Linked DNA regions of Struthio camelus. The protein of the gene in region 1 interacts with the protein of each later gene in a biochemical or structural test. Links are inferred from orthologs where the notes say so. Each region holds a gene or a part of one and is shown in the gene's direction. Other genes may lie near its edges.

Region 1 (7,776 bases):
TAAACAACAACAAAATCCACCTCTAAATAAACAAACCAGTCCAGCAGGGAAATTCACTCTGCTTTTTGCCTGTATTTTTTCTGTTTTAGACTGAGATCAATAAGCAAGGAATGTACTACAGATCTTGCTGAGACAACTACGCTCAGAAGTATAGTACCATGCTCACACCGCCCACACATATGCGCAAGCATCCCCCCGTATACACTTTACCAATTCTTGTGTAACAGCAAAATATTCCCTGGAGTGAATGGAGCTTTAGCAGCAGAACTGTGTAGTGAGACTATCCTCGTCCTCTTCTCCATGCCCTTCCATAACTTGGACCCATGGTTTTCTTTTCAATTTCTTTCATTTTCCCCCTAAAAGACACAGGTATATAGACAGACTTGTAAAAATGAAACATGGCCCTATTTTGCTCAGGCAACGGAGCTGAACTATGCTGACAAAATACTTTTTTGGCTATGCCAGCCTTAAAGGTTTTCATCTTACCACCTGACAAAACTCTTCCAGTGCGAACTCAGTGTGAGCTGGCAACAGCTTGGCAGCAGGATGCACTGACTGGAGTTATGCCAACTGTCGCTGGGGTGATTTGTTCCAGTTCTGTCATATACAAATTAAACAGAAGATTCGTAGTTTTTAGTTATTAGTCTCCAGTATGTACTTGAGGATGTTGAATTAATCATTGATCTCTTTACCTTCCCTAAATTACTACTCCTATCTAGTGTAATACACTGCTAACTGCTATAGGGACAGATTTGTCCACATGTTCAGTTTAAATGCAGGTGTACGTTTTCAAGTGGTTTTCTTGTTTGTCTCTTTTTGTTGTTTTAATAGAATTTCTTGATACAGTGGTTCATTCACTTGCCTTCTTTCAGATAACTTATTTCCTCATGTTCTGGCACTTTTTTTTTCTTTAGTAGTCCCTGCCTTTTTCTTGTTCATCTAGTAATTAATTTCTAATAAACGTAATCTCTAGTAAGTGTCATGGAAAAGGAGGCTTTACTGATGCGGGATAGCTAGGCTGTGGGATGCTCTCAGAATGTTGTCAGAGAGCACAGGTAAGCTTCACAGCATGGTAAGTGTTTGCAGTGAGTGAGTAACTGATATATATTGTTTCATTCCAGTGCTATCTTGCCCTGGCCAAGGGTGGCTTACTACCTGATCACGTCCTGATTTTGCCTATTGGGCACTATCAGTCCGTAGTTGACCTGTCTTCAGAGGTGGTGGAAGAAGTGACCAAGTACAAATCTGTCTTAAAGGAATTTTTCAGAAGCAAGGGAAAGAGATATGTCTTATTTGAAAGAAACTATAGGAGTCAGCATCTGCAGTTACAGGTATGATTTGAGTACAATAGCAGAAGAGCGCAACCTGAGCTTACATGCCAGTATGTTGAAAGAGACGGCTCACTCTCAAACTTCCCTCTTTCCTCTGTGCCTTCACAGAGTATGGATAGAAATCATCTTACCCAAGGATAGAGGCAGAACAAAAACAAAGCCTGGGTGCTTATTCTGCCGCAGTCCTTGTTTTTCCTGTTACAGCAGGCACAGGGTTGATTTGTGTAGAGTGAGTGAGATACAACTGTTTTTCCCCTCATGACCCTGATTAAAAAGCTCACAATGTGTACAGATGAGTTGGAAGACTTTGCTCGTACTCTTATCCGCTCATACTGGCACATGAACTGTGGTACTCATGCTGTAACTGAAGTAGGCTGAAAATCTAGAAATACACCTGCAGAGCTCTGGTATTGGTAGACAATGAATAACCTTTTGATTTGATTGTTTCCTGTATGTTAATCACTTGGTGGTTTATTGTGGTGGTTTCTGTATCTGGCAGATCTGTAACTGTATCAGAGCGGCCTTAAACTACCACAAAGATCAGAAAGGAGGGTGACCGTTCTGAGAACTCTTTCAGGCTATTAGTTTTCAGTTTTCTGTTCAACTCCTACAGAAAAATCTCTCATAAGTTTAAGCCTGTATAGATAGGTGCTCACCTGTCTTATATGATGATGACGAGCAGTACTGAGGAGCATACCAGCTCCAGTGATGGATTTATTGCTTTCTGAGAGTAAATGGTTTGTCTTTTCTCGTTATGAAAATGTTGTCCATGCTCTCCAGGTGATTCCTGTCCCGTTGGACCTCTGTACTTCTGAAGACATTAAAGAGTCCTTTATTGTACAGGCACAGGAACAACAGATTGAATTGTTAGAGATCCCAGAGCACTCAGATATCAAGCAAGTATGAGACAAGATTTCACCTGTCGTTTACCTCACCTCAATCCTTTCTAAGCTGGTATTTCACTCTGGGGTCGCTTTGCATGGTAAGACTAAGCTGTTGGAGGTAGACTGCCATAGACTTGAGTTGCAGATATGCCCGAGGTTTTCACTTCTGGATGAAGTCACAGTGAATGACAGATGATTTGCTTCTTTGCAAATTAAGGCCTTTATCTGCCTACAGCAGTTATACACCTTAGGCTCTCCAAGATGATCAATACTTGCTTTTCATATGAATGAAGCCTATGCTGCTAGGTGCACTAGATAGCACTGCTATCCTGGTGCGATTTACGAAGATGTCCTTTAGTTTTCTCGGAGCAGCTGAGTGTTTACTCGAGGAGAAACTCCAAATATAGGTTAGGCAGAAAGGTAAGGCAGAAATCTGACTTTGAGGACAGGAATGTAAAAGATAACCCTTGCCCTGCTACCCCAGCTCTGTGCACAGGTTGCTGCACTCACTGCTAGTGATACCAAAGCAGCCCTTTCTGTGTCAGTGCAAAGCAGGTAGCTTTAAATTCCCTTGGATCAGGATTTGGAAGAAATATTCCTGTTGTACCAGAGAAATTAGTCTAGTGATATAGGCTTCTCTGTAACCAATAATCACAGGGAGACCATATCTGCAGCAGGACCCAGAAACAGCACATATTTATGCTAGTTACTTTCTAAGCTATTACAAGTATTTATATCTGTGTCAGAAAACTTAGGGTTTTTTTTTTTAGCTGAGAAGTGTAAATTTACTCTCATGTGATTTTTTTTATCTACAATATGCTGTATTAGCTTGGGATGACTTAGCTAGGCAATTATGATCACTCTTACTAGAGGTGTCATTCTGCAGAATTAGTCCACAAAAATGTAGCATTGTGCTCATGGTGCTCCATATGCAAGTGTACAAACTGATCCCGGCTGAAAGCAATCCATCGCTTCACATCTGTCATGAGCTATGTTTTGAGATCTACCATTGACCCAGTTTGTTCCTGTTTGTGTGTTCTAATCTGACTTTCAATTTGCTTTGCAAAGGAAACTAAAACACAGCTAGGGTCCTCCTTGTTAGGAAGCATCAGCTCTTTGACAGAGTGGGGCCGACTTCTAGGACATGGCTACTCACAAGAAATACTTAGGAGAGGGCCTTTTTTGGTGTTTCATTGATGAAAAGGCTTTGGAGTGAACTCAGCCAGGACTGGACAACCCACAGGGTAAAGCCCTGGGGGGTTTTTTGGTGCATAGGCACATTTAAACTTCAGGATCTGCATGGTCTCGGGTCAGTCTTGGCAGAAGAATCCACAGGAAGCTTGGGTTTCCCTAACTCTAATATTCAGTTGAATCACGGTTCAAGTATAATCATCCAAGTGTAGTCATCGACATCTGTTACAGTGTCCAAAAAATGCACTTTTCTTGCTGTAGTTCAAAGCCAGTCTCTTATGAAACCCTGTCATTTTTAAATAACAGAACTAGGGTAGTTATTCTGCTCCGCTGTTGGGTTAGAACCCATTTGAAATACCAAGATGAATTTAACATTACTTGGAAGACTGGCGTGAAAATAGTCAGTGTTGCCCTGCCACTGTTAAAAGCTGCCCTTGCTCCCCTGAGGCAATAAGGGGCCTGACAGCTGGCAGTTCCCTGCTGCTTGGAGGTCAGCAGGGACCCTTTTTCTGGGCTCCATCTTTCAGCAAGGTTTCATCTTCTTTTTTTTTTTTTTTCCCCCCTTTCTTTCTTCCCCCACCTAGGTAGCCCAGCCGGGGACACCCTATTTCTACGTGGAGCTGGACACGGGCGAGAAGCTTTTCCACCGCATCCGGAAAAGCTTTCCGCTGCAGTTTGGCAGGTTTGGGGGTTTGGTGTTTTTTGCCCTTTTCTCTCCTCCCTCATGCTGTGGTGAAGCAGAGTGGCGCATGGGGTGCGGCAGCTCTCATGCCACAGGGCCTGTTGGGTGGGTGGGGGTGCTGTGATGTCACGCCGGGGGGGTGCTGTGATGTCACACCGGGCAGGGGAGGGGTGTGGGGGTGCTGTGACGTCACGCTGGGTGGGGGAGGAGTGTGGAGGGGGTGCTGTGACATCACGCTGGGCGGAGGGGGGCCTGTGGGGGCACTGTGATGTTGGGCCGGGCAGAGGGGGGCCTGGGAGGGGTGCTGTGACGTCACACCGGGCAGGGGAGGGGTGTGGGGCCGCCGTGGCCTCACGCCAGGCCGGGGGAGGGTGTGGGGGGCGCCGTGACGTCACGCCGGGCGGCTGACGCGGCTGTGCTTGCAGGGAGGTGCTGGCGAGCGCGGCCCTGCTGGGGTTGCCCCACCGCGCCGACTGGCGGCAGTGCACGGCGGCGCGACCCGAGGAGGCGGCCGCCGCCCAGGCCTTCCGCCGCGACTTCCAGCCCTTCGACTTCGGCCTGCAGCACTGACGGCGGCGGCGGACGTGCGGCGATGGGCGGCGCGGCGTGACGCACGCGCGCGCGCGCGCGCGCTCTTCTGTGACGCGGCAATAAAGGCGGTGTGGCGCGGGGCGCTGAGTGGCTGCGGCGCGGTCCGGGGGGCGGCGGAGGCGGCATGGAGCGGGCGCCCGGCGGCGCGGCGCTGCGGGGGCAGCCGGCGGGCGGCTGCGGCCCCTGGGAGATGCGGGACCGCCTGGGCACCGGCGGCTTCGGCAACGTCTGCCTCTACCAGCACCAGGTGGGCGCCGGGCCGGGGGAGCGGGGCGGTGCGCGCTGCGCCGGGCCCTCTGACGGCGCTGTGTCCCGCAGGACTCGGGCGCCAAGGTGGCGATCAAGTCGTGCCGACTGGAGCTCAGCGTCAAGAACAAGGACCGCTGGTGCCACGAGATCGACATCATGAAGAAGTGAGTGCGGCCGGGCCCGGCCCCGCCGCTGGAGCGGGGCGCCGCCCAAGCCTCGGCTGCCTCTGCCCCGGGGGCTGCCAGCGCGCTCGCTCCCGCCGCCCCTTCTGCCCCTAACGCGCAGCCCGGCATGCGGGGACCAGCCAGACCCCCTGGGTCTGATTCAGCTGCTGTGTGGGGTGGGGGTCTAGTGACAGCTGGACCCCCCTGTACTTGCATTTGACCAGTGCATGGGTTGGGGTCTAGTGACAGCCAGACCCTGTTGAGTGGAGTGGGGGGTCTAGTGACAGCCAGCCCCCTGGCCTCCCTTACCGTTGGTACGTGTCATGGGAGTCTAGCGAAAGCCGGACCCCAGCGCCCGCGTTTCTCTGGTATGTGTGATGGGGGTCTGGTGACAGCCAGACTCCTGGGCTGACATGGGGCTAGTGTTTCGCATGGGGGGGTCTAGTGACAGCCAGACCATTGTGGTCACATTCAGCCAGTATGTGGGAGGGGGATCTAGTAACAGCCAGCCCCCTGTGGTCACGTATGGCCTGTGTGTGATATGGGGGTCTGCAGTGACAGGCAGCCCCTCCGGGCTCGCATGTGGCTGGTGTGTGGGACAAGGGTTCTAGAGATAGCCAGCCTTCCCACCCTGGGCTTGTATACGGCCAGTATGTGGAATAGGGGTTTAAGTGAGAGTCAGAGCGCTTGCACACGTGTGGCCAGTGTGTGGGGTGGGGGTCTAGTGACAGCCGGACCCACTGGGTTCATGCACAGCCGATGTGTGGAGCTGGAGTCTAGTGACAGCCAGGTCCCCTGGGCTCCTATGTGACCAGCGTTTAGGGCTGGGATCTAGTGACATTCAAACCCCTCTGCACTGGTGTACCAGCTGGTGTGTCAGGCTGTGATCTGCCGATGTTCTGAGCCCTTCTGCTCTCATGTACCATCTAGCGTGTTGGATTGGGACCTAGTGATAACCATCCCCCCTGCACTTATGTGTTGGTCCATCTGTTTGCTCAGGACATAGTGACGTCCAGACACCTGTGTGCTTCTATACTGGCCCGTGCATCGGGCTGTGATCTGGCAATTAGGGATCTGGGAATAACCGTTTTCTGTGACGTTCTCATTCTTACTGAGTAACGTCTCCCAGCTCTTTTTAAGAAGAGGTTACTCACCCTGGGCAACCCGCAGTCCCTCTCCAGCATGTCACTCTGAGATACCTGTGAAACAGAGCAGGTGAAATTCATCCTCATGGACAGAGTTGCTCAATTATTTCTCTGGGTGTCAGGGATCTCGTGGAGCTGTTTCCTCATCATGGGAACTGCTTCCTCTCGAGGGAGATCCTGTAGCATGACATGTACAGTCCTGCTGGCAGGAGCAAGGACACCCTTCCAGAGTTTTATTTTGAGTAGTTCTCCAACAACTCAAAACCCTTTGCTGTACCCATGCTGCATGGAGCTTTACTGAGGTCATACTGTCCCTTGTCACGCTGATCTGCTTACATACATGCTGCTTTCACATTATGTTATCAATAGTGGAGGAAACCACTTGCAGGTATCGTGTTAGAGCTGAGTTTGCAATTCAGTATTGGGTGATCACTGTTTCTATCAACGTTTTCACTGCAAAACTATATTCATAGTCTGAATATAGGCACTGAATTGTACCTCTACAGCGTCTTTTGTGGTAACTCCCAGAGACTTTGGACTTTGTATGTTGGAGTAATTTATCTTCTTTCTAGATGTGTGTTTTATTCCTGAGAATAGCATATTTTGAGACAGTGAGGAAAAGCTGTTTGAATGTAGTTACCCAAATGATTTCTTCCCAGCGTACATTTATTTTACGTGCGTGGTTCTACTTCTATAGAACAATTACACAAGTGTTAACATATTCCTGTAAAACTTCTGGACTAAAGGGAAACTGCTTCTACATGCAGAAATAGAAACACATATGAAATGACTGTGCCAAGAATGTGCAGAAATCCAGAACTTGAGCTTGGATCTCCATCATCCAAGTCCTGTATCTTGACTTGGAGACCATGTTCTGCTCATCACTGGTTTGTGTATTCACAAGGTATGGATCTGATGCATTTCGGTACTGGGCAGCAGTAAGTTTGGGGAGATCTTACCTGAAACATAAAGCACGGTTGGTTGGCAGTCTTGCTCTCCCAAAAGAGGGGTCAAACTTTTCATCAGGCTCTCCGTGTGCCTAGGTTGAACCATCCCAATGTAGTAAGAGCCTGTGAAGTTCCCGAGGAGATGAACTTTCTTGTTAATGACGTTCCTCTTCTGGCAATGGAATATTGTTCAGGAGGTGACCTCCGGAAGGTAAGTTCTGCTTTGCTTTGACACACGTAGGAAAACGAGTGGAGTTAATGCTCTTTTCCTAACTGATTGTCTGTGAAACCACGTATATTGCAGGTGGAGGGAGGTAGACGTGTAGTAAAAAACGTAAGTGTGAAGTGAGGCTTGTGCTATGAGACCAGGTGATAGAGGGGATAATCCAAGGGCAGATATTACTTTATCCTGAAGTAGTGTCTCCTTTCATAGGACCGCATCAGCATTAATGCCGTTTCCTGTAGCCTCGATGTTAGCACCCACCATGACTGAATTTGCTGCTGCGTGCCTGTATCTGTTTGAAGTCTGATCTGTTTTTAATTCACGGGTGTCCAGTGTTGTGTTGTTTTCAGCTACAAGGAAGGATCTTGA
Region 2 (7,831 bases), on another chromosome or scaffold:
CTAAGATTACAGAAAAGAGAAAACATTGCATCTACGTCACAGCAGCAGAAACTTTAAGCTCAATTACAGTTGCTTAAGACAGTAGTCAAGTCATGCTCACACATCTCCCTCAAAAATGATCCTTGCTGGGTTACAGGAAAGCCCACCTCAAGAAATACATGCCCTGAGGACAGTACCTGAAGTTTCTCCTGAGAGGAAAATCAGAAACTCCTTACGGTAAATCCTGATATTTCTCTAATCTTTCTTCTAACTTAGCTAAAAGTTTTCTTAAAAACTTAATAATGCTTTGGAAGTCTACCAACTGCCCTTCACTACATATTAACAAAAGCCTATTGCTAGTGAATTATAAAATCAAAGATAAACAACAGAAAAGATAAATAGCAACAATAAAGTAATGATTAGGCAACAAAACTGCAAAATAAACATGTACTCTGAAGTAAGGACCCAATCAAACAGCCATTTAGGTAGTTATATTTTCTATTACAAGAAATCTTTAAAATGATCAAGCCTATTTAAAAAAGAAAATCGTAACACACATGCATCGTGTTTTCCAGAGTTGGAGCCAAAAGCATGTCGTTACCTTTTCTACCAGTAAATTTGCAGAGGCAATAAGAACAGCTATAATTCTCCAAGAATCATAACTTTGTGGACATTAGGCAGCACTGGCTTATAATCAGCCGAGCCATTTATCTGTAATAAAACATACTACAGGAACCGTTGATCAAATCCCTTTTCCATTAGTTGTATATCTTGCCTATTTAACTGAAAGTTCTTCAGAGCAGAAACTTTTTTTAGCATCATTTGTCCAATTTACTGTACACTGCTGTTTCTAGATAACCTCATAACAAAAGTTAAAGTGAATCTAATTCATAATAATGGAACCATACAGAAGCCTGGCCAAACATTTAGACTTCAGAACATTCTTTGGTAAGATAATCTCATCAAAACTAAAAATATTGCACAACTGCATACTGAAGAAGTAAAGTATGGAAAAAAAAGAAAAAAAAATTGACTACATACAAGCCTACTCCTAATCTCCTCCTTGCCTCAGCTTCTTCACCGATTCCACCAGAGTTTTGCAAAACTAAGCCTACAGATAAGAAGTCCATATGTTATAGTTCACACTTAACAGGAAGCATGAAACTGAGAAGAAAATTACAACCTTCAAATCCCTCTACTACTAACCACACAATTTAAGCAACAGGATTGCTTATACAGGTCTTAAGCAATACCAATTCAGTATCTTTCCAAAGCCTATCGGTTGTACAAAGTAAAGAGCAAGCCAGCGATGACAGCATATTTGACACTTTCAGAAAAAGGACCAAAGAATTAAGAACAAACACACACATGAGGCAGCAGAAGGGCCTCCAAAACTCAGATGCGCAGAATACATTACCCGAATAGCTTACGACAGGATCTGTGACGACCTCACAGGGGACACAATACAAACAAACAAACATACAGCAGAATAAGATACTAAACAGCAAAAACATGACATAACATGTCCAGAGAGAATGAACTAAATACTTACTAGGAAAAGGCAGATGAAGAGATATAACGATGAGATAAAACGTCAGTACTGCAACAGATAAACGAAGTCAACATGCAACGTCATGTGACAGCAAAGACTTGAACTTAAGGAATACATGTACTTTAAATTTTGTTTGATGTATTAAACTTCATAATTTTATATTACTAATCAAAGAATAACATTAATATTCCTACAAAGGAGGTAGAACTAGGACAACTCCTTTACAAGTCCTAGTGGTAATACAGGACAATCAATTCCAAAAATAAATTCCCCCATCTGATTTGTCCTAAATCTTTAATCTCATTAGTTTTGCACAGTGATAAAGTTAAAGGATAAATGAAATCTAAAAGAGCATAAGTTTCTAGGCACTGATAAATTCTGTTTAGGCTACTAAGTTATATAAGGATAATGAATGGATATAACAACTTGTTATACTAAACAACAAGTTGTACTCATCAACTATCTACTGCAGCATACCCACCACGAGGAAAATTAATACAGGGAAGCACTGTGAGAAGCCTCCCCAAAAGTTTGACTGAAACATCCAAAGTTCTGATCTTCACTTAAGCTAATATTTATGAACACTAGAACTATTTTCAATTGAGTGTATCGGAATGGTATTTTGAAAGGCTGTGTAAGGAAAGGAACAGACATTCGTAGTGCATTTTCTACCTAGAATGAGGAACAAAGTGAGCATTCTATTATTCTTCATTTTTACTATACTGCTCAAAAGAGCAACGTAATAAATTTAAAAACAAAGACAAACCACTGATTAAGTTACAGCCAAACTACAGACATTCAACTGATTACCAAGAAAATTCACAACTCCAGGCCTGGGAGCATAAACTCAGCTGACCAACACTGCAGCACTGTTGATTCAGCATACTTTTAATACAGCCAAACGGCAAGGAAATGTGGCCAAATGCCTTTGAGGAAACAGCTATACATGTTATGTCTTATGTCCTTTCCCTCAGAGAGATCTTCTTAGAATATGCATAAGTGCAAACTTTATGAGATAACTGAAAATAGTATGTTATACTGAAAGGCAAGGGGGGGGGGGACAAACATTTTTCTTATGTACTATAAGCAAAGCACTGACCACTTGAAGGTGAGGCATTTCAAAAAAATTTCAGCATATAAGCAAATATCTCACTGAATATTAATAAATCAATTTTGTGATCTACCATAGCAAGTGAAGAGACCATGACTAACCACAACATATATACATAAACAATACATTTCTATCCAAAAAAGGAGCTACCACAGTTCCCAGTTGCTAAGTTGGAGCTTACAGCACTGAATTCGCAGTGAACCATTAATTTAAAACTAGCTTCCTAACACTATGCAAACTTACCAAAGTAAAGTTTGCCATTGAAAAACTACTTTAATTCAAAATAGTCCGTTTAGCTTAGCAGACTAGCAATGTGTCTGAATGCACATTGCGCACTGTTCTTCCTTCCAACTCATAGAATATTTTCTAAATGTGATTAAAAACCTTATTTTTGATAGCATATATTAATAAACTTTTAAATCTTTAAATCTTGTATGTATTTGCATAACATTCCAAAAACACTGTATTATACAAAGGGAAATTACATTAAACAGAATTCTGCTAGTTTTTCAATTACTGTCCAAATATGCCCCATAAAAAGAATATTTTATAACATTTTTACTTTTAAACAGATTAACTTTTTATCATTTTTTCCATAAGCTTTTTTTGTTTTGAAACAGGAAACGTTCATAAAAGCAAAAGTCAGGTAGGTAAACTTCACTTTAGTCAAATACACCACCGAACAGAAAACATACAGACACTTACAAAGTCAAGTTTGAACATGAGATTTTTTTTTTTTATAGGATCTGTGCCTAAGCACAGTTGTTAATAATGGATGTCTCCGTACCCAAGATATTCAAAATATCTATTTGTCCATCCATTGTATTGTATGTATTGTATCTTCTTGTGTCTTGCATTATCTACTTTATCACGTAAAGATATGTCTACTGTACTGCTTTCTACTCCCTCCCTTCTCCCCTTATTTATCAAAAAAGGGGGGGAGGCACAAAATTTAAATTCAGCACATGTAAGCGGGCACATTTTGCCTGTTCTATTCTACTGCTAATACTAAAACAGTTCTCAGGAAAATTGGCAAGATGACAATTCCCACCAAGTCCATAGCACTGCAGCAAGGGTCGTGGGGCAGGGAGATGCTTTAAAAAGCAATTTTACGCCATGCTTAGTTATTGTACTTAGAGATTATATGGCCACACAATTGTTTCATTAAGAACTATTTTTCAAAGTTTCAGCCGTACTTGCTAAATTTTCAGGACCGTCAGTACTGGCTGCTTCTCTAGCCCCTTGACTGACACTCAGAAGAACCTCCTGCCATCAGAAACACGCTGCCTGCACCTTCTCCCTCCATTTCTTTTCAATTCTTATCTGACAAAAATATTTAAAAAATCCAGCCAGCGCCTGGTCGCTTGCAATTAATAAATTCGGACTAAAACCAACGCGGCTTGTCAGGAACAGCGAAAGCAATTCAGTACCGAAAGGAACACGGAGGGTTGTCCCCCTCCCTCCACAGGTTTAGCCGTCCTTCCTCGAACCCGTACGCTGGTCCGGGAAGAAATTAACCGCAGAAAACCTTCAGGGCCAGGAAGCCGGACGTATCACTTCAACCTCGGCAGCCAGGGGAAACGCCGGCCCACCTCCCCCCAGCCGGCCTCGCCGCGGCGGCCGCCCCGGGGCCCACGCCGCGGCCCACGCCGGGGCCGCTGCCGCGCGAGGCGGGGTAGGGCGGGGCGGCGGGCGAGCTCGGCCCCTTTAAGCAGCGGGCGCCGTTGTCAGGCAACGGCCGCACAACAAACGGCTGCTGCTGCTGCCGCGCGCGCGCGGGGCCCACGACCCCGCCGCCCCCCCCCAACCTGCCCTCACCGGCACACCCGGCCCCACCGCCGCCGCCTCTCGCGCCCCCCCCCGCTCGGCGCCCCGCGGGCCGGCCCCACTCCCCAGCGAGCTGCCCCGTCCGCGGGGGCGGAGGGGGGGAGGAGCGGAGTGGGGCCGGCCGCCGCGGGGTGCGAGGCGCGGGCGGGTGCGCCCCCGCCCCGCCGCCGAGCCCGCAGACTGGGCGCTGTCCCCGCCGCCACCCCGCTCACCGGCTCCGACGGCTGCAGCTGCCTGCGCGTCCCGCGCGCGTTACCGCCTCCCCGGAAACGGGCGGGCGGCGCCCTGCAGCGCCCCCTGTCGCTCCGGAGGGCGGTCGCTGCCGAGGGGCGCCGGGCCGGGCCGGGCCGGGCCTGCGCGGACCGTACCACCTGCCTCGGCCGCCTCCCCCCGCGTCGGTTGGTCGCGGCGGGGGCCGGGTCGGCGCGGGGCCATGGCGGCGGCGGCGGGGGGCAGCGGAGGTGGCGGCGGCGGCGGTTCCGGCAGCGGGATGGCGCAGAAGACGTGGGAGCTGGCCAACAACATGCAGGAGGCGCAGAGCATCGACGAGATCTACAAATACGACCGCAAGCAGCAGCAGGAGATCCTGGCGGCCAAGCCCTGGACCAAAGAGTGAGAGCGGGGCCGGGCCGGGCCGGGCTGGGCCGTGGGGCGGGCGGCGAGGGCCCGGGGCCCGGGGCGAGGCGGGGGTCGGTCCCGGCCCCAGTACGGCCCTGAGCGCCTCTGCGGCCTCTCTCTTGCAGCCACCATTACTTCAAGTACTGCAAGATCTCGGCACTGGCACTGCTCAAGATGGTGATGCACGCCAGGTCGGGCGGCAACCTGGAGGTGATGGGGCTCATGCTGGGCAAGGTGGACGGGGAAACCATGATCATCATGGACAGCTTCGCCCTGCCCGTGGAGGGCACGGAGACCCGCGTCAATGCCCAGGCGGCTGCCTACGAGTACATGGCTGCCTACATCGAGAACGCAAAGCAGGTAAAAAGAAGTGGTGCGGGGTATTGTGTCCCCTGTGAGGTCGTCACAGATCCTGTCGTAAGCTATTCGGGTAATGTATTCTGCGCATCTGAGTTTTGGAGGCCCTTCTGCTGCCTCATGTGATAAAGTGGCTGCCCAGTTACAGTGTTTCTGCTCAAAACAGGGATCAGAAAACTATCCGATGCAAACTTTCTGATATAGCTTTTTCATTTTCACGTTTATTTTCCCATCTTAGAATAGGCTGTCGGGTACTTGAGTATGTTTTCCTTCATCTTGATTTTCATCACTCAGGAAGTGTTTGTATGGCTGCAGCTTGCAGCTGGTGGCTTGCGAATGGAATAAGGAGGGAGCATGCTTCTAAAATAACTGATATAATAGTGATTTCTAAAAGCAGTATACAAAATTAAATATAAATTGTTTACGTATCACAGCTACTTATTACTTGTAGAACAGGGGAATGATATTTTTTCATACTTGCTTGCTTTCTAAAGTCTTCCTACACAGTCACTCTGCTGTCTTCCATAATAAAAAAGAGAACGGGTCTATGAAGAAAAATACCAATGAATAAATAAAGTGTCAGTGGCAATTAATTATCCAGGTTTATAATTAAGAAATGTTGAATAGACTGACTCTGATAAGATTAATTACTGCGAAGTGCCTGTCTGCTCTTTCTCACCGTGTTCTCAAAGACTGAAGTCATGTTAAGCCTGAGCATGCAGTAAAATTCTCACATGCAGAAGAGTAACAGAAATGGGAATCTGCTCTGTGGCTGGTCTAGAAACCAGCATGGCACATGGGATTTCCTCCTGATAGTGCTAGGCATTCCTGTCCTATGAATAAGCTAACTGTGAATCCCATAAATTATTCTAACTGTCCAAATAGTTGTAGACCCGGTTCACCATTTGGTTTTTCTTTAATTCCAAAGTATTCTAACTCTGTAAAAATTAGAGGTGTCTTCCCTGTTCTCTGAAGACAAGAGGATAGTATTTGGGTTATTTTAGAGTGTTGTACTTCTGTTCGTACTTTATATACAATTAAAGATTTTAAAATAAGTGTGAGTTAGATTGGATCGTAATGTAAGCAAAGAGTAAACGTATTTCAGAGGTTGATATGTTTAAAGATTTTTTTTTAAAATAGATACATGAGGTCATGTCAAAAGTTCATTTGACCCAGTATTCAGCAGTCAGTAAGAGATTTTTGAACGAGGAACAGAATAAAAAGGTGCAGCAGGATTTCATTCTGTGGGGGTTTTTTTGGTTTTGGTTTTGGTTTGGTTTTTTGCTTCTAGAATTTGTAGATGTAGCCACGGCATTATTTGGAAACTTATGCTGATAATTTTTCCAGTCCCCCCAAATCTATCAAATCTAACGTTTGGCCTTCATACCATTGTTTTGCAATGAATGCTGTCGTATTGGTGTTTGGAAGTATGTATTTTTCAATTTATTATTTTTAAAACTACGAATGAGCTCGCAGTATGCCTCTGAGGTGTGTTACTGTGGTAAATAATAAACTTTCATTCTCTACTGACATACGCTATGAGATATGAGATTTTTATACTTGTGTCACGTCCTCCCAATGAAATTTTTTTTCCATGATGAAGAGTCTCAGCTTGCCTCTCATCTCACCATGAGGGATCTGTTCTGTACTTCAGTTATCATTAGAAAAAGAGTTACTGGCTCCTTGGAGTTGGTTTTCTTTGTTTTGTGGTAGTAGCTATAACACAGAATGCTAATACAGATTACATGGTTTGTAGAAAATAATTTTGCAGCCTAAGTTGTGCATTTAATACTTAGGCTATTTATGTATTCTTTTTTATCCTCTTGCCATGTTGTATTTTGCTGGGAGGCCCAATAGAGGGCAGCTGTTACTTACAGGATGGAAGCATTTCACACTATGGATTTCTTTTCCTTCACTCCTGTTAGGTTGGCCGTCTAGAAAATGCCATTGGCTGGTATCACAGTCACCCTGGCTATGGCTGCTGGCTCTCTGGGATCGATGTCAGTACTCAGATGCTTAATCAGCAGTTTCAAGAACCCTTTGTAGCAGTCGTTGTAAGTACTGGCTGATAGTTAATTTAACCATTCAATAAGCACGGTAAAACTGGGTAGCAAATTATGTTGACGAGGGAATTATTTTCAGATTTCTGGTGGTTAATGTTTTCAGAGCGTGTATTCTGCATGATGGAAGAATGATGCAGAAAAGATCCCAATCTTAAACTGGTATCACCCGTTTTGCTTTTCTGGCCATACGCTGGTCAGAACAGTAGCATTTGTTCACTGAGGCCAGCTTTGCTGCATCAGTCAAGATGTTGTAGTTCTGCTGAAATTTATATGCTGCTCTTTAAGTTCTGCTTGATAATTTTTCAAAAAAATTTACTGAACAAT
Region 3 (7,545 bases), on another chromosome or scaffold:
GCAAAGTATGCAAGTCACAAAGCATGCTCTGTCTCATGTGTGGGAGTAAATGTCATATCCCACTGCACAGGATATTTATAGCACAGCACTATCTGGGAAGTGAAACTTTTCAATGGTGAAGTTTTCACAGCCAGTTGCTTCAGGTTTGAGTTCTGAAGAATGAAACAGCTGAGAACCCTATTTTAGAGATTCTGACTCTTCAGTTGGCTCTGAATGATACAAACAAAACTGGCAGGGTCTGAATCCACGTACCCCGTGTTTAAAAGCTTGAGTTTCTTCCACCCATATCAAAAGGCTGTTCACTTGAATCCTGCAGCTGACCTATCAATCTTGTGACCCACAGGAGCACAGAACACAGTATGGCTTTGTCATATCTAACCCACACTACCTGGTGAAGGAGCCCTTCCCATGCATTATAGGTACACCACAGTTCCAAAAAGGGCAGGCTTAGGCATAAACATTCAACTCCTGGGGGACACCATTCTTCTGGCAATCTGGCTCATCACACACCCCCCAGCCCCCCAGGTTACTCTGCACAGCTGGTCCCATGTAACTACCCATGTCCAAGCACTCAAATTCAACACAGATCAAAGTAGGTAACCCTTCTTTCAACAAAGAACCCTGAACTAAGAACAGCTACCCTGGGAAAGCTAACTGTAACCTGACATGCAAGGCAGTGACTCTCGTACCTCCTGCGCTGTGAACTCAGCAGTGCCCAAAGCAAGGGCTAGACCTAAACTTCTAGAGAAGGGATTAGGATGGGAGAGCATAGACTATAGCAGCATAAAGCTGGGGGTAGTGGTGTGAACAGCTGATGGAATTCTGACCACTTTACTCCCCTATCTCTCTCTCTCTCATATACATATATATTTTTTAAAGGGGGTGGTCATCTGCCACAGAGGCAGAAGCTGGGCTGGAGGAATAACATTAGAGAAAGGAGACAAGATTGTATGAGCTGTCTAAGTCCCATCTCTAGATCTTGACTGAACTTTACATTGTCAAAGGCTTGCCCTGGTTCAAATCCTTATACAACTCACTATTTGGAACATGTTGCTCCTGACTCATAATATGTAATAAGCCCAAAACTTGGAATGCAAGATCAAAAATTCTAAAATAAAAGCTTTTTTGATCAGTGGTCTCAGTAGATCACCATAACCAGGCCAGGAAGAAACAAAAAGGCCTTTTGTGAAACTATGCTCTTGGAGCTTTAACTATAATCACTGCACATGTTCTGAGAAGTAAGTTCTTGACATTAATGGGTCGTCCAAAGGGCGGGCTATGCCTATTTTGTACCAATTATTAACACAGCTATTAGTATTAACCCTCTAAATCTAGTTACCGATACACCCTGTGATGTTTACACAAATAGGAACACAGATGTGTTTGCATTCGCTCCATTTGTACTCACCCTGATAACTTCTGGCGGGTTTTATAGCTACAACAGAAACCTGAGCTTGGTTGTACTTGTCCATCTAATTACAAAGTAAGGACAGAGCAGAGGTCACAGCCAGCACCTGTCTCCCAGACTTGCCTTCACCAGCTCGGTTGTTTCTGCCTCAGTGGGGTGGATATGTTGCATTTTCATCCTACTCCAAATACACTTTCCTGCTGGAGAGGTGTCAGAAGTGCTCTGGCAGATCAGTACATGTAGGTGTTATTTCCAATTAGACTAACAGGACTCTTTACATCTTTGAGCTGTTACCATATGTAATAAATGCCACTTGCTTAGTGGAGCAGACATTATTACATTATTTACACTTTGTTTGTGCTTTCAAGAGTTTTTACAGCGCCAAGAGTGACAAACTTCTCTACCAGTAAGTTGATTGAGACCATTGATTCATTTCACATAACTTAACCACAAAAGCAAAACAGAATATTCCGGATTTCAGTATTGAAGTTGGGCTTGTAACAAGTTCCACATGTGTTTCTCAAACTCCTCAATCCTGTGTGCTTCCTTTCTGCCTTCAGATAAGAATTATAGAATATAACTTGCATGGAAAGCGTGGCTTGTTCAGAAATCTCAAAATGAGTATTAAGATCCATTATGTTTTGTCAAAAGCCCTGTTTGATGTTCTTTCCACTAGAAGTGGCACTAGAAGTGTCAAATGTATTAGCTAGGGTCATAAGTACCTCTATATGCAACTCTGGCAAAAAACAATCTGACCAAGGAGCCTCAGAAGTTTAAAAACAAAACTTCTCTCAAAAATATTTCAACTTTAAAACTTTTTTTTTTTAAACAAGGCGACGGTTTTCAAATGTTCTTTTATCTAGACTAGTAGACATCCCACATGCTTTAAGAGATATCAAGAAAAGTTGGAAAAAGATGTGACTGGTTATTAGTCCTACTCTTCCCTCACCTGAGGTTTTCCTACTGCTTCCGTAGTGAGAACAAAGATTTTGTTTTGGTTTGTTTTTTTTTTTTTTTTTAAATACACACTCAGGGAACCTTAGAGATTGTGCAGCTCAAATTCTTGTGACCGTAGCATGCGTTGCCTAAGCGTACGAACACATAAAAACACTACCCCATACCTTAGCTCAATCTCCTCCTACTTTCCACTGAGAGCAGACCACAGTTCAGTTCCTCCAGGATGACGGACCAAAAAACATCTGCAACTATTGGCTACCTCCTTGAGAAAATCCACCTGATCAATACTTTTGAAAATGATTAAAATGGAAATAACAAATAATTTGAGTAATCTATGAAATAACATCTTGACTATAACATAACATGTGTGATGCTGACCTACTGCAACAGACTCATTATACTTCTGGCTTTGCACTGTAAGTGGGTGACATTGAATTATTTTCAACACTGCATAGTTCTAATATCTTTCTAGAGAACCCTAAATATTGAAAGGGTCTTCCCAAACTATGTAGAAATAGAGTCTGAGCAAAAGAAGTATCTGTATTAAGCCAGCATATACTTAAGGTGAGGGAATTGGAATCCTGCTACTGCAAGTTTCAAAATCACTCAGAGCATCATCACCGTGGTTATCATACAAAGCCTGTCTGCCACAACTGTGAGTCATCTTTCTGCAATGTGCACAGCATATTAAATGTCACAAAAAGAGCCCAAACCTAGGGGCACTAAACAAGCATACCAAAGTCCAATTTCCTCCTTTCTTGAGAGCTCTGAAATTATCTTATTTTCCATTCGCCTCATTCCCTGATGCAAGGAATGGAAATTACCCCAAAAGACTCTTAACTCTTATGTCACAACAAAGAATAATGCTAAAATAGGAGTCTGGAAAGTAAACTTTCACTTAATAGGAAGAAACAGAGACTGACTCAGGAAAAACTCTCAAGGTTATCACTAACTCACACTATTCAAAAAAAAATCTCCACAACAGCACTACAATTCCTCCAATCACCTCCATTGTGACTGAGGATGAAGGCTAACCATCCTCTTCTCTTCCATGGCCTTGACACAGCTGTCATATCCCTTCTTCCTTTCTCTTGGGTGTTTAACTATAAGGAGAGGAAAAAAAAAAAAAAAAAGACATCCCATAAAGTCTCGGCATAGAGAATGAAGAAAAGTTAATAGGTTACATATAAGTAAGTGTTGAGAAGGTCACAGTTTCTTAAGCCACAAGTAACTGGACAGTTTAAATCTACTAAACCTCAAAAAACTCAGCTTATTGACTCCCTGCTACCATAGCAACTCTGATTTTCCCAAAGTTATACTTTTCTCTAATACCTGTATAGACAAATTCCTCTAAGTTTTTGAGGGGAAAAAAAAAGTTACAGCCCTTCAGTTTTATGCCAGCATCCTTACTCAGATGTGGCAACAACGGAGAAGCTGCTGCGGACAAGCATGGCACCAGCCACACTACAAACCCAGGGGCCTGGATGGAGCACCGCCACCCCGCGCCGTTTTGGGTGGTTTGCAACCCCCTCTCCCGAGGCGGCGGGGAGCGGCGAGCAGAGGCGAGGCGCTCGGGAGGCGGCCAGGGCGCTGCCCGGCTCGGCGTGGGCGGGCAGAGCGGCCCCGGGCGGGAAACCGAGCAGTTAACGGGAGGCACAACCACGAGGAGAAAGCGCTCCCCCAGCGAGCCAGCCGCCGCCCCCAGCAGCACGGAGCCGGGCCCGCGGCGGAACAGGGAGGCCGCCAGGGCTCGCGCTACCTGAGAAGACCCAGGACCGGGGAGGGGCGCGCGGCCGCCGCCGTTTAACGGTCACTCGGCGCGTGCGCACTCCCCCCGCTCTCCCCCCACCCCCGGCCCCCGGCCCGCGCCTGCGCACTGGGCACCTTCCGCAGGCGCCGCGACGGCACGGCACTGCACCCCGAGGAAGCGACGGGGCGGGGAGCACTTTGCAGGAAGCCCTGCCCACTTCTGGGAAACTGGAGCCGCCCCCGGCCGCTCGCCGCCAGCCCCCTGCCCCACTGGGGCGGGGCGGCACCCGGCGGCGGCCGGCGCCGGTTGGACGCGCGCGGGCGGCGGGGCGCGGCGTGGCGCGGCGCGCGGGCGGCGGGGCGAGGCCACGCGGTCCGAGCGGCGCCTATTGGCTGAGCGGCGCTGGGGGCGGGGCCGCCGGCGGCCAGCGCCTGTCAGTGTGCGGGGCGCCGCTGAGGGAGCCTGAGTGGCAGCGCCGCGCCGCGCCGCGCCGCGCCGAGCCTCCCGCGCGCACCGGAGCGGTAGGTGCGGCTGCGCGCCGGGCCCGCCCGCCTCGGGGGGAGGGGAGCCGCGCCGCGCCGCGCCGCGCCTCCGCCGGGCGGCGGCGGGGCCGGGGCCGGGGCGGTGCTCGGGCCGTTCACCGGCGAGCCCGGCTGTCAGGCGGCGGCCTCGCCGCGGCGCGCCGCTCCTGAGGCCCGCGGGCGCCCGTCTGTGGCCGTTCCTGGTGCGCGAGGAGCCGCGGGCGGGGCCGAGCCGCGCCGCGCCGGGCAGCCCGGAGGCGGCGAGCGGCGGCCGGGCCGGGCGGCGCCCGCTTCCTGGAGCGGCCGTTGAGGCCGCCGGAGCCCTGCGGAGCCGTCCCCGAAATTCCTGGCTGCCCCACCCCAAGGTAGCTTGGATTCGCTGAGCGGCTGCTTTCTTCTCCGCCTGCGCTGCTGGCGTCTCCAGAGAACACCGGGCCGCTCGCTTGCTTTCTCTTCTTTTTCTGAGCTGCGATGTTATTTTTCTGCTCGAAAGCAAACTTTCCTTTTTGGCTCTGGAGTTAACTGATTTCCTGCCTGCTGTGTCTGTCTTGGAGCGCTCGACTAGATAAGAAATTAAGTTGCCACCTTTGCTGTTTTGATTGGATGTTGCTAGGTGCAGTTTTACCAAGCTATTCCTGACCATGGAGAGGGGAGGGTGAGGCAGGCTTGAGATCAGTTAATCAAAATATACAACTGAATAAGATCTGAAGTTCAGTTAAACTGTCTGTTTACTCACCTCTCATATCTAGCCATAGGACTTCTCTTTGACACAACTTTTTTTTCTGGCAAAAGGTTAAAATACTTCTCTGCTGATTAATAAGTCACTGCTGTGGTTGATCTCAAATGCTTCCTGTCTACTTAATCAGTTACATTAGAAACATGTGTTCAGGGCTTTGCACATGTAAGAAGCGGCAATCTGAAACTAGCATCCATAAACAACTTTTAAACTTCTTTTTAAACTGTCTTTCTGAACTCTTTTATGAGTAATAAGTCGCACCTTCTTAGCTATAACAATAGTGATGAGAGTAATTGAATCAGGCTTTCAAATATGTGTCTGTCGGGGGTGCTTTATTGCGTTTTAACTAAGTTAAAATCTATTATTGGCACAGCCACTAGATTCCATTGGAATGAGTCATTTGCTATTAACTATTAAATTTTAACTGTTATGAGAGACTGAGTCTTTGAATAGTATGCTGTGAAGAAGGACTATAACAAGTGAGCATGTAACAAACAAAAATAAAAAAGGGTTTGTGGGACCTGATCCAACATCACTGGCGTTAACGAGCTTTGAAAGAAGAATTGGGATAAAGAGTAGCAGTGTTAAATATGAGAAGTTAGAGCAGAGCTTTTGTAAGAGTGATATGGTCACTAATTATTGCTCTGAAGGAGAGGAGGCAAACGTGACTGTTGTCTCTTTAGCCTTTCTCCTGCAACTTTTGAGCTCATTGGCAAATGTCAGTCAGATTTGCTGGCGGAGACAAAAGGAGAAAGGTCTGGACAACAGAAAATTTTCCAACTTCCAAGAAGAGCAGCTGGCTCTGAGTGGAAGAGACCTGGATTAGGGAAGGGTCTGGAGATGCTGTGGAAGAGAGATCAAGAGGATGCACTGGGGGACCAAAAGGAGGGGTAAGAGGCCTAGGCATGGGAGACTTAAATCTATAGGAAATTGAGCTTTGCTAACCACATTTTAGTAGCATTAACTTGCTAGGCCCTGAAAAATACAGAACGCAGCTCGTCTAAAAGACGGGTCTTAGATGCTGCAATTAAAATGGGAGTTTCTCTCATGGAGTATTGCTCAGAATGGACAAAGAAACTTGTCAGTTTTCTTCACGTTTCTAGTATAAAATTGTAATAATTGAGCTCACAAGATAGAGGATGAATTAAGCTTATGTAGAAAAGCTCCTATTCATACTAAAAGTAACAGAAATTCCCTTTTTGCCTAGCGTTTCAACATCACTGCTTTCTTGTAGCCTTACATGGCTTTTTTGTAAATGTGAGTTGAAAATCTCAAGCCACACAGCAATGTTCAGTAATAACTGGTGAAAGCTTGGTCCTGTTTACCTGGGCAGAATTAATTTTAATGCATGTTTGTGGTTAATGTCAGAAGTTGTCCATTTAAGTGCTTATATACCATCTTGCTCTAATTGAGGAAATAGCTTCACTCCACAAATGGGTCTTAAAAATCAGGATGTTTTTAAGCTGTGTTCTGAAAGCTTATATGTAAACAGCTAAGTCAGATTTGAAAACAAAACTTTGTCAGACTTAAGTTTGTTCATACTAATACTTTCTGTAATACTTGTTCGCAGAGCAGTTTGGAAAAATTAACTGGTTTGAATGAATTGGGATGCAGTGATGTTTATAAACTTTGGGTAAATGGTGTTATTCATATCCTCATTCAACAACATGAAAAGAGTTGTTAAGGGGTGAGTTGTACCCAAGTTAATCTTGAGGAAATTAAGATAGATGTGTTTAGACACTTTTGAAAATTCTACTATTGATTAAACTCAATCAAATACTTTCCTACGGAGTTTGTAATCAAACTACTGCAATATATTAATGTCTGGCAACTAAAAAGATAGTTGAAGCTTATTATCCTGATGTTTATAGTATGCAACATAAATGGCTGAAACTGGGTTTTGAAATATTTCCTGTCAAACCACTTTAAAGAATATATTTACATATTTATTATCGTTTATAACAAAGCTTACTCATGAACATAATACTGATAGTGAAATCCTTCAGACTGATCCCAGAGTTCTGGGGTGGTTTAGGTAGAAGCAACTGATCATCTTCAGGTAAACCTTTATGTGACAGTATTTGACAGTACACGAGAGACCTAGAGGAACCAGACAAAACTGTATAGGTGCCCCTCGTAGAGACACATAGATAACACTGTTAAACCAAGAGGA
Region 4 (7,551 bases), on another chromosome or scaffold:
GACCTTTTGAGTTATAAAGAAATAATGGGTTAACCAGGAAGGGGTTTGGATAGCATGGCTTAATAGGCCAATAAAGAATTCATCTGACAGGAGCGGAAAGATTTCAAAGGAAGTGCCTCTCACCTGCTATTTTGAATTTTTCCTCCTTTCTTTCTGTTTCAGTACCAAATGTATGATGCCAAAGAGAATGAAAAGATCCTGACCCATTTCCAGTACTTATCTCAGAAACTGACAGAAAATAAAGCAGGAAGCTTTGACAAATATTTCAGTATTATTTTCTACATTTGTGCAAACCACTTAAAGTGAAGAGCAATTATTTTAGAAATCTCTGCAAATCTTGCATGTCTGTCTGTTTTCACATATTGTTGGAGGAATAGTTTAATTCTCAGAAACAAAACTTTGTTGCTGAGGAGAAGCAATATTAATTATAAGGCTAAAAAAAGTTTTGGTGCCTATCATTTCTCACCTTAGGAAGGGATCTATACTACCAGAGGAAACCTAGTGAATGCAAAACCAGAGGCAGCTCCTAACCTCTATGACATTTCAAAAAGCTTAAACATACATAACTTCACTATGGTGAGACTCAGATATAACAGCTTAGCTAAGTATGCAACTAGGAAGCCTTACCTCTGATACAGCTTCCCAGTAAGAGAGACTGGGACACAGCTAGAAAAATTTCACAATGTCTCCCTCAGCTCAGCAACATAAGTGTTTACTTGCTCAGGTGGAGCTTTAAGCACATGCACTTCATCTGTGAGCTGATCTTGTTCAGGTATTAAAGTATCTTGATGGTAATAGCGCAGCCCTGTGTTCTGCAGGAATCACAGCAAACTGCTGGCACCTGAGTCCATATAGTCTGCCTAGTTTACCTACTGGCTGTAAACAGGTCTGGGGGGGGGGAGAATATCTTTTGACTTTTCAGGTGAGTGTTTCCATGCTTTAAAGCAATTCATGTATCCAGGGTGTTCTGAGAAGGTAATTCTACCATTATGGACTTACAGCTTGATGCTGTTGTGGGTTTCAGTGGAAGTAACGCTTCTGTTACAGTGGTGAGTTATAAGAAAGACAAAGTTATGTTTTGAATTTACCTGAGAAGGGAACCAAAAGGAGAGAAGAAAAAAAAAAAAAAGCTAGATCATTGTGGAAGCTGCTTAGGCTTTTACTAGGAAAGCTGAGCCCTGAAGTAGTCAACAATGTGTCCTTTTAAAATAAATCCACCAGTTAAGTCTCCTTCAGTTTTGGAACTTTTCCACCTTGTTTGATTTTCCGGTACTTGTTCATACAGGTCTTGCCTGTGAGCATACCTGTGACTAGCTGTGACATGGCACCTTTTCTTTCAAATGAATCTCATTTTGAAACACTTTACATATTTAAAGTCTATTTAAATTTCCTTCTCACAGGGCTTTGGGACCCAGTTCTCTCTTCACTCTCACTTCAGTGTACTTGCTTCCACAGAAGAGCTGAACATTGGGTCCTGAGAGTGCAAGAAGTAGCTTTTTTTAATAAGGAAAAACATATTTTACTCAGAAATGCTGAGTCATGAAAAAATGGGTTGGGGAGAGAATGGGGGAATCCATTTCTAGAACTGCATCACAGAGTGATGTGACAATCCAAATAAAGGAAATGACTCTCACCATACATATGAATATATCCCCTGTATGAGATTTCAGTTCTCTTATTAAGAGATGGAGAAAATCCTTTGTGTTTCCAAGCTGCCTTTCACAGTCTCAGCACTAATCTTAAATAACATCTCTATTCCAACTCAGATCTTGGCACAAAGTATAACATCTGAATCTATTCCCTCTCCAGGGATGAAATCAGCTACCATGTTGATAGATTAGATGTGTTCAGCAGCATAGTCTTCTTTTATGACATGTCTGGTAAAAAAAAATAACCCTGTCTCTTTGTCCCAGTGATTGTTTATCCCAGGTTATATTATTAATTAATTATTATTAATAATATTAATTATTAATAATTATATTATTGTATATACCAGATTTTATCCCAGATTGTTTATCATTTGACCTTGTTTATTTTGGCCTCAGTTTTGCCTTGGATGTGAGTTTGTTGCTTCAATATAAGAGAAATGAGTCTCACCATTTAATTAAGTTATTTGTTTTATCCTTCTTTTCAGTTACGATTTTTGCTAGTCTCATTCATCTCTCAGAGGAATAATCCTTTGGTGAAGATATGCTACCTTGCAGAGTCTTAGCACAACAAAAGTCATCCACCAGCACTCCCCTGTTGCATGGTTGAATTCCTGGCCTAACACACATCAGGTGAGCTATACTGGCTGCTAAGCTGAGATGCTCCTCACTCTTAGCAAACTGGAGGTTTAAGCCTCAGAAGAAATTCAATAAATTCAAATATTTCATCCGACATTTGTGACTGGCCAAACATGGTACTGGTCAGTTAGGATCGCTCAGCTGAATGACAGTACACCCTTCAGCCTTAGATCTACCTGACAGATTTGCTTACAGTACTAAGGCACTAGATTTTGATACTAAAAAAATCAGTATATGATTGATGGTTGGTGCTATTTAACAGAAGTTCCACTAACCTGGAAGTCTGCTCTGCCAGGAGCTAAAAAAAAAAAAAAAAACCAAACAACGGTGGCATGTAGCCTGCACCCCCTGCTCAGCACTGTTTTCAGATGTTTGGTGGTGGGCAGTGAATAAACCTCCATTTACAAAGGATCCATGAAAGGAAAGTAACAGAAAGGCATTATGTTAGTAGGTTTAAATTCACTCTACGTGTATTCCCTCTTCCCTTAGAAACTTTTTGGGGGTCAACAAACAAAAAAACATTTACAGCCACCTGGTTAGGCCTGACTCCACAGAAGTCTTGACAGCATCCCCGTGGGTCACTCAACATGGACAGGGTTATTCTTGTGGTGGCGGTAATTCCTCCAGGCCAAAAAGGCTCATGTAGTCACACAACTTCCTTCAGGCTGAGGGCCTGTCCGATCAAGAGCAGTTCTGAGAGCCCTGGGAGCTGGGAGAGGGATTTTGCCAGCTAGGGGTGGGTGGCAGACGCTTCCTCAGCTCTGCGCTGCCCTGCCTGCTTCCGTGCTGTCTCCTCCCTTGCCCAGGGTAGGCTTTTCCTCCTGCGCTTTTCCAGCATAGTGAGGTGGGAGAAGCCACAGACAGAGCCCCTCCAAAGAAGGCTGGCAGTGTTCAGTGCTGTACAGGTGCTCCTTCATCCCTCCAAGTGCTCCCCCTCAACAGTTGCCTGCTCTCTCCTTGCACCCCAACAGCTCCCCCTTGACAGTGCCCCCCCTCACTCCCTCCCTGCCCCCCCCAACAGTTGCCCCTCAATGGCTCCCTGCTCTCTCCCAGTCCCTCCCAACAGCTGCCCTCTCTACCTGTCCCCTCTCCAACAGCAGCTCCCCGTAACGGCTGCCCGCTCCCTCCCTGCCCCCCTCAACGGCTGCACCCCCTAACGGCTGCCCGCTCCCTCCCTGCCCCCCCAACGGCTGCGCCCCCTAACGGCTGCCCGCTCCCTCCCTGCCCCCCTCAACGGCTGCACCCCCTAACGGCTGCCCGCTCCCTCCCTGCCCCCCCCAACGGCTGCGCCCCCTAACGGCTGCCCGCTCCCTCCCTGCCCCCCCAACGGCTGCGCCCCCTAACGGCTGCCCGCTCCCTCCCTGCCCCCCCCTAACGGCTGCGCCCCCTAACGGCTGCGCCCCCTAACGGCTGCCCGCTCCCTCCCTGCCCCCCCCCAACGGCTGCGCCCCCAACGGCTGCCCGCTCCCTCCCTGCCTCCCTCCCTCCCTTCCCTGCCTGCCTGCCTGCCTGCCGCCCCGCCCCGCCCGCGCGGCCGTTGCGCTCTCGGAGCGTCAGCGGGAATTTCCAGTCAGGAAGTGCGGCGGGCCGGGGGGCAGGGGCAGGCGGGTGGCCGCGGAGGTGGAGGCGGCGGCGGCGGCTGCGCAGGCGGCGGCGGCCCCGCAGGCCGGTGCCGCTCAGCTGCCCTCGCCAGCGGGCCGGCGGAGGGGGAAGTCCGTGCGGAGCCAGGGCGCGGGCGGCGCCGACGGCGTCACGCCGGTTACATGGCGCGGCGCTGAGGGACGCGCGGCCGGGCCCCGCCAGCGGGAGACGACGACGACGGCGGCGACGGCGACGACGACCGCGACGAGACGGCTCCAGCCCTGCCCCGGGTGAGCCCTCAGCAGCCCCTGGCCCGTCGCTTGCTGCTCTCTCTCTCTTTCCTGCCCTTCCTTGGCGCCCGTTCGCCTTTTTGCCGGCGCTTCCTCGTTCCTGCGCGGAGTCGGTGGCGAGGTGACGCCGGGCCGGGCGGGGGGCGCCGCAGGGCAGAGCCTGGCGGGCTCGGGGACCTGCGACGGGCGCCGCGGCTCGTCCGTGCCGCCGGGCGCGGCTGCCGCCTGACGTGGAGCACGGCAGAGGGAAGCGCAGGCGGCTCCTGCCCGCGGGCGCCGTCCGGGGCACGGCGACACGAGCGGCCTCCGCTTCCCGGTGCGGAGCTTCTGGGCAGGGCGATTGCTTGCCACTGTGCTTTCTCTTTTGCTGTGGATTTAAACAACGCCTTCCGTGTTCGCGTACGGACCGCGTCGGGACTCTTCTGTTTAATAACTCTTAAAGCGCAGCTACAGTGGGCTTTTCTGCTGATGTTTGTTGTAAGGGGACGTCCTAACCTGGAAGAGATGTCTGTGAACTGCTGTCAAATAAACGCAAAAAGTTGGAGAGGCGTTTCTGCTGACGGGGGAGCGGGGTGCTTGCTGTCAAAGGGTATGCTGGTTGTTGCGCGTTTGGTTTCAGAGGTGGCGTTCGGGCTTGACCTGAGAAACAGTTTGGAGCATCTGTGGTTGTACGGTCATTGTCTGGCCTTAAGGGGGGAAAAGTTAGCATGCAGACGGTTTTGCCGGTGGCACCTTGGTGTCCTGATCCTGGGTGGGGATTGCAGAAGGTCTTTCAAGTGAATGTCGCAAAGAATATTTAAAAAAAAAAAAAAAGCTGCTTTCGGATGTGGTGTACTGGTGGATTTTTTTAAAATTGCACTAGTAAGTAATGAAACTGAAATGTTCTCCCAATGATATAAAAGTATGATCTGAATGGTTGTTTTTGTTACATGTGGCCTTAAAAACGAGGAGATTCAACCGTTCATCCTCACCATTATTTTTACTTGTTGGCGCTTTCTGCTTTGATTTCTTCAATTAAGAAGCTCTATTGACTTCTTCCATGTGAACACAAAATAGAGTGTTATTTCTGAACTTCAGTATAGATGAGCTATGTGTTATTTGGCTGCCGTTTTAATACGGTATACTGGTATGTACTTCCATTCAAAGGAGTGAAAATATAAGTGCCTGTAAGCATTTGCAGGATTAAGGCTAGAGGTCATCACAACTTCAGTGCTGCATTTCAGCTTCCTGTTAAAAATACTCTAATCTTTGCTAAGGGTTAAAAATACTCTAATCTAATAAAAAACTCTAATACTCTAATACTCTATGTTAAAAATACTCTAATCTTTGCTCTAATCTTTACATTTGAAAAGTAACACATATTTTTAAAGCGCATAATGTGTTAGGCATGTTTAATTCTATGCTTCAAAGTCCTCCTTTCATTTATTCTTTTTAACAATAACATTAAGTCAATATTAAGTGAATGTATTCTCTGCTGAATCGCCTTATACCCTACATCACCTTATACTTCACTAGAGTCAGGTGCTACACCACCTTAGGCAGCCTTAAACTGCCACTGTCAAGCTCGCACAACTCGGTTGAAAATGTAGGTCTGGGTTTTGTTGATATTCTAGAACTATTGGAATAATATGCTAGTCAGAATATATTTCTGGTTTAAAGACAGATTTTTATATTTTCAAGAGAGAATGCAGCTGCCCATTCTATGAAAGAATTAGAATGACGTCTTAGTTATCTGCAGTGTTTTGTACTACAGTTTAGTTGAGCAGTACAGTTAGGACTACATTTGAGAAAATGAAAGAGGAAAAATGAGCCTGTAGATTCTCAGCTTCTCTAAGCTTTCCTGGCTCAGTAATTTAAGTGACATTTATGCTGAATTTTTATTGTCAGGATCTGCCCCAGAGGGTATACCTGGAAATTTCAAGGAAACTCAGTGCTGAGATATGCGCAAGACTTGTTAAATAACAACTTAAACTGAAGTATTAACCAGTCGATGGAAAAAGAAAGCCTTTTCCTTTCCACCCTTTGTCCCCTTTTTCAAGAAAGAAGTGTCCATTTAACAGTAGTTATCACAAATCAAACTGGTTTCTCTTGTGAGTAATGAGTACGTTTTGGATAGAGTTAAGATTATGAAACTGAGAATGGCTTTGTTTCATTTTGTGTCAAGTTGTGTGTTTTAAAAAATAATACTGTAGCAGATAAACTTCATACTTGATAGAGATGCGTAGTTAAATTAGCATCTAGATGGAGTTTTTTTGGTATACATTTGAAATCAGAAAAGTTTCCTGGAAAAAAAAGTGTGCTAGGAGAGAGCAATACCTTGTTCTCACCTTGGTAGGGGGTGAGAGGGTAGAAAACAGACAGCAATATTTCGTTCATATGTAAGGTATAAAAATTTCTTGCTTTGTTTATTGAAAGTTAACAATTATTTTAATTAGTTTTCAATGTTATTATGTACTTAATCTTTTAAAAATAATGTAATTTGCTTTTTTCAGTGAGATGTTGTTATGTGATTTCATAACATTCAGTAACGGATACCTACAACCAGCTATTGACTTGAATTTGGTAATTAATAAATTTCTGAATTTTCATGAGAAGCAAAGTTCCTGCTTTCCAGCACTGCCTTTTCCCAACACCTCCCCAAGCAACTGTCACATGGAGACATGCAAGGTCCAGAAATAAGTGCAGTTAGGAAATTTGTGTTACCCTGCCCATCAGCACTGGTGACCCTGGAAGCAGAGGAACCCAGTGTGAAGACGCTTGAGTCTTCGCTATGAAGGATGCTCCGTACTGCCGGGGGTGTTTAAGATTCGGTGGTGCAGACTGCCTCTGTAGTTACACACACCCATACTAAATGTTGTATAGAAGTTGCAAAGATACAGTGAAAAACAATGTATTTTTTACTAACTTAGGGTAGGCTGTTGTAGCTATTGATCAGAAAATTCTGCAGTCTTTAGAGATACTGTTTCGTTGTTCTATGTTTTCATAGATCACTTCAAAATTTACCCGCTGAAATGTTCCCACCTTTCGGTGCTGAAAATGTTTGCCAGCTCTAGATTCAGAAGTGTTTGTCTTAAGAGAGAAAAACATATTTATTTCCTTAAGCAACTAAAGTAAAGTCTAAATTTAGCTTCTTTGAAACTTTTTTTTCTACATATTGGTAGTTTTTCTTTGGTCCTCAGTGACAAAATAACATAGGTATGAAACAAGAGGAGAAAATGTTTGGGGTTAGGTAATGGATAGGAGGAATTCTGATCTTGGTCACTGTCAGCTCTGACCCAGGTATCTTAGAAATGGAAGTTGTAATTTTATGTCCATTAAATTAGCTGTGTAGCCTTTTTAAAAGTTCTACATTGATAACATCGTAATTACAGTTGTCATTAATTGTGCCCTTAGGT

Evidence for each region.
Region 2: of the proteins of CHUK (region 1) and COPS5, one has a biochemical effect on the other in vitro, tested with the Homo sapiens proteins (2 studies listed by BioGRID). The link is inferred for Struthio camelus from reciprocal best matches to the Homo sapiens genes CHUK and COPS5.
Region 3: of the proteins of CHUK (region 1) and MAP3K14, one has a biochemical effect on the other in vitro, tested with the Homo sapiens proteins (5 studies listed by BioGRID and IntAct, with this or other methods). The link is inferred for Struthio camelus from reciprocal best matches to the Homo sapiens genes CHUK and MAP3K14.
Region 4: of the proteins of CHUK (region 1) and NFKB1, one has a biochemical effect on the other in vitro, tested with the Homo sapiens proteins (3 studies listed by BioGRID and IntAct). The link is inferred for Struthio camelus from reciprocal best matches to the Homo sapiens genes CHUK and NFKB1.

Annotation. Positions count from the first base shown.
Region 1 is NC_090948.1:43,888,100-43,895,875, reverse strand, and holds the start of CHUK (inhibitor of nuclear factor kappa-B kinase subunit alpha), read left to right. Parts: upstream 1-4,769; 5' UTR 4,770-4,803; coding exon 4,804-4,926; intron 4,927-4,997; coding exon 4,998-5,092; intron 5,093-7,280; coding exon 7,281-7,395; intron 7,396-7,776. Other genes in the region: CWF19L1 (CWF19-like protein 1), read left to right, coding at 1,122-1,331, 2,112-2,231, 3,991-4,088, 4,514-4,658.
Region 2 is NC_090943.1:132,232,884-132,240,714, forward strand, and holds the start of COPS5 (COP9 signalosome complex subunit 5), read left to right. Parts: upstream 1-4,829; 5' UTR 4,830-4,902; coding exon 4,903-5,081; intron 5,082-5,212; coding exon 5,213-5,447; intron 5,448-7,369; coding exon 7,370-7,498; intron 7,499-7,831. UniProt on the Homo sapiens protein: Probable protease subunit of the COP9 signalosome complex (CSN), a complex involved in various cellular and developmental processes.
Region 3 is NC_090966.1:522,457-530,001, forward strand, and holds the start of MAP3K14 (mitogen-activated protein kinase kinase kinase 14), read left to right. Parts: upstream 1-4,527; 5' UTR 4,528-4,636; exon of another isoform or gene 4,637-4,640; intron 4,641-4,865; exon of another isoform or gene 4,866-5,001; intron 5,002-7,545.
Region 4 is NC_090945.1:27,039,501-27,047,051, reverse strand, and holds the start of NFKB1 (nuclear factor NF-kappa-B p105 subunit), read left to right. Parts: upstream 1-4,548; 5' UTR 4,549-4,624; coding exon 4,625-4,745; intron 4,746-7,551.